Coturnix japonica: one gene and its partner. The protein of the gene in region 2 interacts with the protein of the main gene of each other region in a biochemical or structural test. Links are inferred from orthologs where the notes say so. Each region holds a gene or a part of one and is shown on either strand. Other genes may lie near its edges.

What was found. The genes of interacting proteins can lie anywhere in the genome.
Region 1: the proteins of NGF (region 2) and NGFR form a complex in vitro, tested with the Homo sapiens proteins (2 studies listed by BioGRID and IntAct, with this or other methods). The link is inferred for Coturnix japonica from reciprocal best matches to the Homo sapiens genes NGF and NGFR.

What each region holds. Positions count from the first base shown.
Region 1 is NC_029542.1:2,822,223-2,826,522, forward strand, and holds the start of NGFR (tumor necrosis factor receptor superfamily member 16), read right to left. Parts: upstream 2,801-4,300; 5' UTR 2,745-2,800; coding exon 2,703-2,744; exon of another isoform or gene 1,466-2,702; intron 1-1,465. UniProt on the Homo sapiens protein: Low affinity receptor which can bind to NGF, BDNF, NTF3, and NTF4. Forms a heterodimeric receptor with SORCS2 that binds the precursor forms of NGF, BDNF and NTF3 with high affinity, and has much lower affinity for mature NGF and BDNF.
Region 2 is NC_029541.1:3,979,246-3,982,745, forward strand, and holds part of NGF (beta-nerve growth factor), read right to left. Parts: intron 3,400-3,500; 5' UTR 3,328-3,399; intron 2,635-3,327; 5' UTR 2,495-2,634; intron 152-2,494; 5' UTR 113-151; coding exon 1-112. UniProt on the Homo sapiens protein: Nerve growth factor is important for the development and maintenance of the sympathetic and sensory nervous systems.

The DNA of each region.
Region 1 (4,300 bases), on a different chromosome or scaffold from region 2:
CATTCCCCAGTGCACTCCTTGGCCAGGGGTGATGTGTGGGGCTGGCTTTGCTCCTCCTGCTTACAGTCTGGAGGGTCCCAAAGTTCCTGGTGTGGCAGCTGGGATGAGTTTGTAAGGAAAGAGGATGGGGCAGATGGTGTCGGGACAGATGGTGCTGTTGGGCTGCTGAATGAGGCAGTGAGGAGGCAGAGCAGTGCTCAGAACTGGGGCCACCCGAAGGGACAGCAACAGCAGCAGCTGTGACCATCCAGGGTCAGTGTGTGCTCACACTCGGGTCCACTGTACTCGATGGGAAGGCTGCTGTCGGGGATGGGCTCCTTTCGGGGGGGGGAACCGTCCCTTTGCCACCAAGTTAAGGCTGATTTTGGAGGGGAAGAAACTCTCCAGGAGGCGGAGGAGCTCCACGTCCCCGTTCATCTGGCCGCCTCGTCAGCCCCTTTGGCCGCCGCTCTGCACAATGCGGTGTTATGAACTCATAGGCGCATCAACCGGCATCAGCCGGCCCGGCCAGAGAGACAATGGAGCGCCAATTATAGGCATCTGAATGACAAAGTGCTCCAATTACCCTTCTCTTGGAAGCGTGCGTTCTCCTTCTGCGCTGCTTTGCCAGCCCGTGTTGGCACCCAGCCCCAGCTACACGGGTGGGATGCTTGGCACGGAGGGACCCTCCCAACACCCCCCAAATGGAAACACCCCCTTGGAAATAGGAGTGGGGGGGAGCAAAGGGCTCTCTTTGCAACAGGGACGGCTCCAGGCAGCAGCGATGCGCGTGGCAGAGTGGGGCTGGAGCTCTCCATGCTGCTTCCTTTTCCCCAGCACCTGCAGCATGTTCTCCTGCTCGGGAGGGTTTGGGGAAGAGGGGAGCATCTGAACTTGGCTATAAATAGTGTTGGGAAGGCCGGAGCGGTGCAGCTGGGGCCGCAGCAGCCAGCTCTCCCACGCCGCCCGCGCCTGAGGCAGCTGCGAAGCAAAACCCACAGGGACAGAACCCGGTTACGCTGTTTCCTCTGTGCCAAACCGGACCCCCCCCCCCCGACCTCCCCTAGTTGTCCAACACTCCACGGTCCCCTCCCCGTAGGGTTGTCCTACCCTCCGTGTTTCTAAATGATGCGGAAAACGCACCTTCCAGCCCCAGATGCTGCACCCCCCCACCCCTCACCCCCCAAACCTCCCCGCCTACGTTTCCCTTTCTACATCTCAAGCGCTGAAACATCCATAAAGATTAACACGCTTATAAGAGGGGCACATGGTCTGCATTAGCCCGCTGAAATGTGCATGTTATTAACACAACTCCCGTTGACAAAGCCACAGGTATTAACACCATAAAGCATTTTGACAGCTGGACTGGGGTTGGGGAGGGGGGAGGAGAGGGGAGGGCACGGGGGGAAGCGCTGAGGGTGCGAGCAACACCTTTGAAAGCTTTTAATTGCTTTTGGAGTCGTTTTGGTGTTCCCTTGCCCTACAGGGGGTGGCCTTGGAGGAAGATGTGCGCAGCTCAGCACCATCATCACCCAAACACTGGCACGGAAAGCTGAGCTGCTCTGAAACGGGGAACGGCAGCAATGCTTCAGCTGGAGACGGGCCCAGCGGCAAGCCTGGATCCGAACGGCCCGCAAGGCTGACAGACGGGTTCTGTGTATTTTGGCGGAGCAACCTGTCTAGAAAAGGCTGAAGATCCGCATCCCAGCACTCCCCAAACTTTGGGCAGTGGGAGAGTCACGTCTGAGCCGTGTGGGTCCCACAGGGCTCTGCCTCCTCCCCTGACCCAGCTCTAGTCTGAGCAGTGCAGGTAAGGAGCTGTGGCAATGGGGTGCTGGGGATACAGCCCACAGCTGCGAGTGCACATTTGGACCTGCCCCGCTTGGGGCTCAGAGGAACAGCAGGTTTCCAACTACCCCAGATCTCTATGGGGCTGGATGGGCTTGGCAGGTGCAACCCTAAGGGCAGCCCAGACCTGTGGGGTTAGCTGTGGGAAATGGGGGACACCAAACCCAACTTGGAGCCATGAGCCACCCACACCATTCTCCCCCTCAGTCTCTACATGAGCCTGCTGAAGCAGCAGCTTTAATGCCCTACCCTACAGCGTCCTGCTGCCCACTGAGCCCTCTGGGACCCCACACATCCTCCAGCAGCAAAAGCCCCATTTCTGCCCCAGGTGGCTCAGTGCGTCCCCTTATCCCCTTTTCTGGGACTCTCCTTCTTCCCTGGTTTCCCTTGCTCTGAAGTTTTGTCTCCAGCGCAGGCTGAGGCTGTGCCCATCCCTGGGGCTTTGCCCTTCGTGCTGGGCAGTGAGTTTGGAGCCAGGAAGGGAAGGTCTGTGGGAGTCTTTGAAGGTGTGGGGTTCAGGAGGTGGGGGCACAGAGGTGGGGCTGCTTTATTCCCATAACCTCCTATGGAGAAAAGGGAAGGCAGAGCTCAGCTCGGTGTCAGCGGAACATGAGGGGCTGAGCGAGAAATCCCTACGGTGTTCCCCCCACCACTCACATCACCACTCCTCTCCCTATGCACCCAAACCTTCTGGGACCCTCCATCCCCATACAATTGACACTCCCACTCCCGATACCCCCGGGACCCTCCGAGCAGAACCCCACAGTCCCATGGTACCCCTCCATCCCAGCAGGACCGGGACAGTCCGTGCTGTCCATGCCCATTCCCCTCTGTGTCCGGACCCCCCCCGGCTTAGCCCTCAGCCCCTCACTCACCGTCGGCAGCAGGAGCAGCAGCAGCGGTACGAACCCGGCCATGGTGCTCCGGGGCCACCTCGCATCCCCCGGGCTGCCCTCCCTCTGCCGCCCGCCGTCTCGGCAGCACCAGAAAAGGGCTGCAAGTCCCTCCTCCTCCTCCTCTCCGCCCCCGGAGCATCACGGCGAGCAGCCGAGCCAGCACCCTCCTCTGTCGGCACACAAAGCCCGGACCCCTCCCCAGCACCCACCGCCCACCCACGAAACGTTTTCGGGTGTGTTTGGTCTCAATCCAGCCGACCCCTCCACCCTCCAATGATTCTCGTCCGTCTGTCCCCACACACTCTTCCCTGTCGTCTGTCTGTCTGCCTGTCCGTCTCTCACACACCCACGTCCATCCATCTCCGCACACCTCGCTCCAGCCCTTCACCAGCACGGTCCTCATGATGGGTGAGCAAATGGGTTCGTTAATTATAAGAACAGAGCGAGGCTCCAGGCTGTAGCTGGGATGGGGTGACCAGATCCCCTCTGGCTGCACAGCCAAGAGACAGCATCCCACAGGTAACATCCCCAGGACTCAAACTCAAACTCAGCATTGTCACAGCAATCCCGGTGACAAAGAGAATTTCCCTTTGTCACCGCAGGAGAGGCTGCAGTGCACAAAGCCACCTGCTCCTGTTTGTATTTCCACCCGCAGGTGTAAAATAGCACATTGACATCCTTCCTGTCCTACAGCCCCAACGTGTGCTGCTCCCCAGTGCTTCCACTCCATCACAGAGCTGCTCTGTCCCCATCCTGCCCAGCCCCAGCCCCGTGGTTGTGAACTCAAGCTGCGTGTCAGGGAGCGGAGCTGGAAATGTCATGGCCTTTCCCCAGCTCAGTTTGGCTCCTGCCTTGGTGTGTCAGCACCAAAAACGCTCTTTGTGAGGTTTGTTGGAAAAAATATGCAGCGAGTTTTGTGTGGCTTTGGTGAGAAGGTTTGCTGGAGGCTGCCCAGAAATGCTGGCGCCGGGGTTGGGAGGGATGAAGGATTCCTTCGCCCCCTGCTTACGTCACTCTGCCCCCAGTGCTTTCACCTAGCATAGGATGGAGCAGTGGTGTCTGTGGGTCTGTCTCTGTCACCCTGCTGCTGTCCATCTCTCAGCTTTACTGTGTTGGGATCACGATGTTGTCCTGTTGGCAGACACAAGCTGGATTCCTTCCTGAGCAGCGAGCTCCTAACCTTAATGACTCTATGAGTATATGATCTGTGATGCTTGTATGGCTGGCAGCTCCTGTGGGCGGCTTTGAGGAAAGTCCCTCTTTAAATAAGATTAACCCAAAGCCAAAGCTGCTGTTTGTTCTCCAATGAGGCAGCGTGGGAACACATGTGAGCCACATGGTGATGGGTTCAGGGCCAGGTGGGGACAGGGCAGCGTGCACAGAGACTGGATGTGGGGATGGGATGGGATGGGATGGGATGGGATGGGATGGGATGGGATGGGATGGCTGCCACCCACCATGAGCCAATCATCCCTCACCCTTTTCAGTGCTTGGATGATTGGCAATGGGGCAAAGCTGCTTGTGGACATCTGGCAGAGCTGGACACAGCTGAGGGAGCAGCTTGGGTCTTATGACAC
Region 2 (3,500 bases):
GCAGCCTCCAGCAGCCTCCATCTATCCCACCTGCCCTTTCGGGACGCACCACATTGCTGATTTGGGGCAGATAAAGCCCACGCTCCTTCCCAGAAGAGCTCAGACATCTCATGTCACAAGGGCAGATGGGATTTGTCCAAGTTCAGGCTGCCTATTAGGACAAATATGGGTATTACATAGGAGCACCATGGGTGACAGGCTATTTCTGGTTGGTATCTAAGGTAGAGCATAGCTAAAACCATTATGGTCACAGTACTGGGCACAGAGGAACACACCGTCCTCTTCTCAGTGCCACGAGCAAGAAGTTGCACAAATGTCCCTGTATAGCAGACCCAAAGTGAGTGCTAGTATTCCTGTAGCCTGGAGAATGTGCACATCTGTTTGGGTGTGGAAAAATGTGGGACAAATATCTAAAATATCTCTAAGAACAATATTATGCTGGAACACCAGCAGCAGTAATACTTTATTAGGTAACTGCCATGTGTTGACTAAATCAGCCATATGCTAGGGAACAAATCATCAGCAGAGGCACTGAAAACACCATCTGAGATTGCAGCGAAGGGCTGGCATTGTGTTCCTCTGTGAAGAACCATTAGGTACAGACAGGATGTAAACAGGAAAAAAATAATAATAAATAAAACCCTATCAATACAGGCTCCTCCCTTGTCTTGGTGCTCTGTTTGCATGACATGCCTCAGCTGGCCCTGAATTGCAGCGTCCAGCCAGCAGGCAGCCTCACACCCACTGGACAAACAGGGCTTTTCAAGAAGAAGAATCAGGCTCTGCAATTCCACTGTGATTTCCCAGCATGTCCTGATGTTTTTCTGGGTTTGGGTCAGTCACTGTTGACTTCAGTCACTGACTTCACCCCTTCCTGCTCAGCTTTCTCTAAGCAAAGTTTGAAGCAGCACTAAAGCTTTGTCTTTACTAGGATGCACTGTAGAAAATGCAGAGCCCTGATATGTACCACAGTCCTGTGTGGGTACTTCTTATCTCAATGAAATAAACAGCTGTGGCTGTATTTGTGCGCAGGGCTTAAGAAACCAGCAGGACAAGCCAAATAGACTAAAGAGATGCTACAAGTCTCTGCATCATGGGGATGATATTCTTCCTTTGGACTGGAAGAATTAGGGATGATAGAATGGTTAGGAGTCCAATGCCTCTCACAGAGGAAGTCCTTACTGTTCCAGCTACTTTAATTTACATAAAAGAAGGCTGTGGGTCGCTGCTTGCTCACATGCTGCTCCTACTTGAGCAGCCATCATCATCTGCACAAGGAAATAGAACTAGGTGTAGCTCAATAGCTTGGCTATGCACAATTCAAAGAGTAACCCCTCGTTCAGCAGCCAAATTGAAATCAGATGGGTCACTGCATCTCTAAAAAGTTCGCTTTTCCAACAGAAATGTTAATGGAAAAGGTTTGCAGAACAAACTCCAGGCGCAATTCAGACATGCCAGAACAGCCTCAGCCTATCGTGTTTATGCATAATACCCGTTATTATTATCCCCTTGTATAGAATGGAGGCATAGCAATGCCAGCAAAGAGCTCTGTCCTGATTTTCTGCCATACTTTTTTTCTCTGAGCTTCTTAGGTTGCATATTTTACATCTTTCTTTGTATTTCCTGTCCTTCTGGCAAAGCATTCTATGGGATCGTGGCCCAGACGCAAGCAAATGTATCTGGGATATGTGGTATTTTCCTGAAGATTCCAAACTGAATCTTTTATTATTACATTAGTAGAAAATAATTAAGAAAACAGCTTCAAAAAGTGGATTAGTCTCACTGACAATGCCAGCAGAAGAATTAACATTTTAGGGCATGCCTTAAGACTGTTGGGACTGTGACTCTTGCTGATGTGGAGGTATTTTACAGGCTGTTTTAGGGAGTTGTTTCTAACTTCATTCTGTATTTACCTACTGGACTCCTCCATGGTGCTCTTTGCAAAGTGTTCACAGTTCCCACCCAGTGCAGCCACCTGAGCTTCCATGGAGATGCACATCAGTACCAGTGCTGGCACTGCAGCCTTTGTGATGTGGGCTATGACTGTTACCACAATCCTTTCAATACCACAAACACAACCGCTGTACGAAAGCGGAGGATATTTAATGAGCCCTGTGACTTCTAACTCAATTATCTCTCATTGTAAGAAATCATTTTCCACAAAGGGCCTGTCTGGAGGCAGAATATGGGAAGGGGTACGTGGGAGCTCCCCTATTGGCCAAACAATAGCTAGCTAGAAGATAACAGTGATGCAGCTTATTTAATATGTCAAAGAATTAAGCATTTCCAAAAAATAAGAGTATTAAATGCAACCTGCCCTTATCTTCTCTTTTCAGAAGACAGATCAATTGCTTTTTAATCCTTCCCTCATTTGTTCATCAGATCTCTTGCTACCTGCTCTCATACAAACTCTTCCCCTGGTAAAGATGTTTGGACTGCTGTGTGATGCTGGTAATTCAAGGTTTCATGGTTCCTCTATGTGTTCTGTCCTTACCTCTGAGTATATTGCACAAAAAGCTGCTCCTGAGGAAGGTCTTTATTTCATCCAGATGCTGAGCTGGGGTTGGCTGCAGCATGCCATCGGGCCACGTTGGCTGCGTAGTTCAGTCTGGGAGTTGCTTACTCAGTGTTCAGCTAGAATTAAAAGTATGTTTCAGTAAATAGCCAGCAAATACATGATTTCAGTACCCTTCCCTACTGCATTGCAGGAGTACAGGGACAAATCCACTCTCAACTCTCTGAGCTGTGCCTTTTTCACTGGTAATTGTCTAAAGTGCCAATCTTGTCTTTCACAAGCAGCATGACTGTAAGACAAGATACCTTATTCAGCTCCTTTACAAGACCCTTCTTAATTATCCACTGTCCCCAATCCCTCTCAGGCATCTTACAGGCTCACTGTAAGCAGGAGTAATGCAGCATAAACAAAGCAATACTTGCTAATGTAGCTCAGTTTGCATAACAGGTATGGACAAATGAGTATTCAAACCTCCCATCTTCATCTTGAAGGCAATTCTGGTTACAAGTGATGAGACCGCATGTTGTCAGTAATCACTCAAAACCAGAGACAAAACCACTGGATGGTTTAGGTTGGAAGGCACCTCCAGAGGCCATCTCATAGAATGGCTTGGGTTGGAAGGGGCCCCAGGGATCACTGAGTTCCAAATCCCCACCACATGCAGGGCCACCAACCTCCATATCTGTCACCAGCCCAGGGCCCATCCAACCTGGCCCTGAACACCTCCAGGGCAGCTGGACAGACCTCATTGCCCTCTATGAAGAACTTCCCCAGTATCCAATCTAATCCTTCCCTCCATCTGATCAACCCACCTGCTCAAGTAGAGCCACCTGAAGCAGGTCTGCCAGGACCACACAGGCATTTATAATATCTACAGGATAGTTCTGATGGAAAGAAATAAAGAGTGCATATGAGACATCACACAGGATATCCAGTTCTCATAAATCTGAGACCTCCCAAGCTCGTGTGATGTGCTCATTGCATT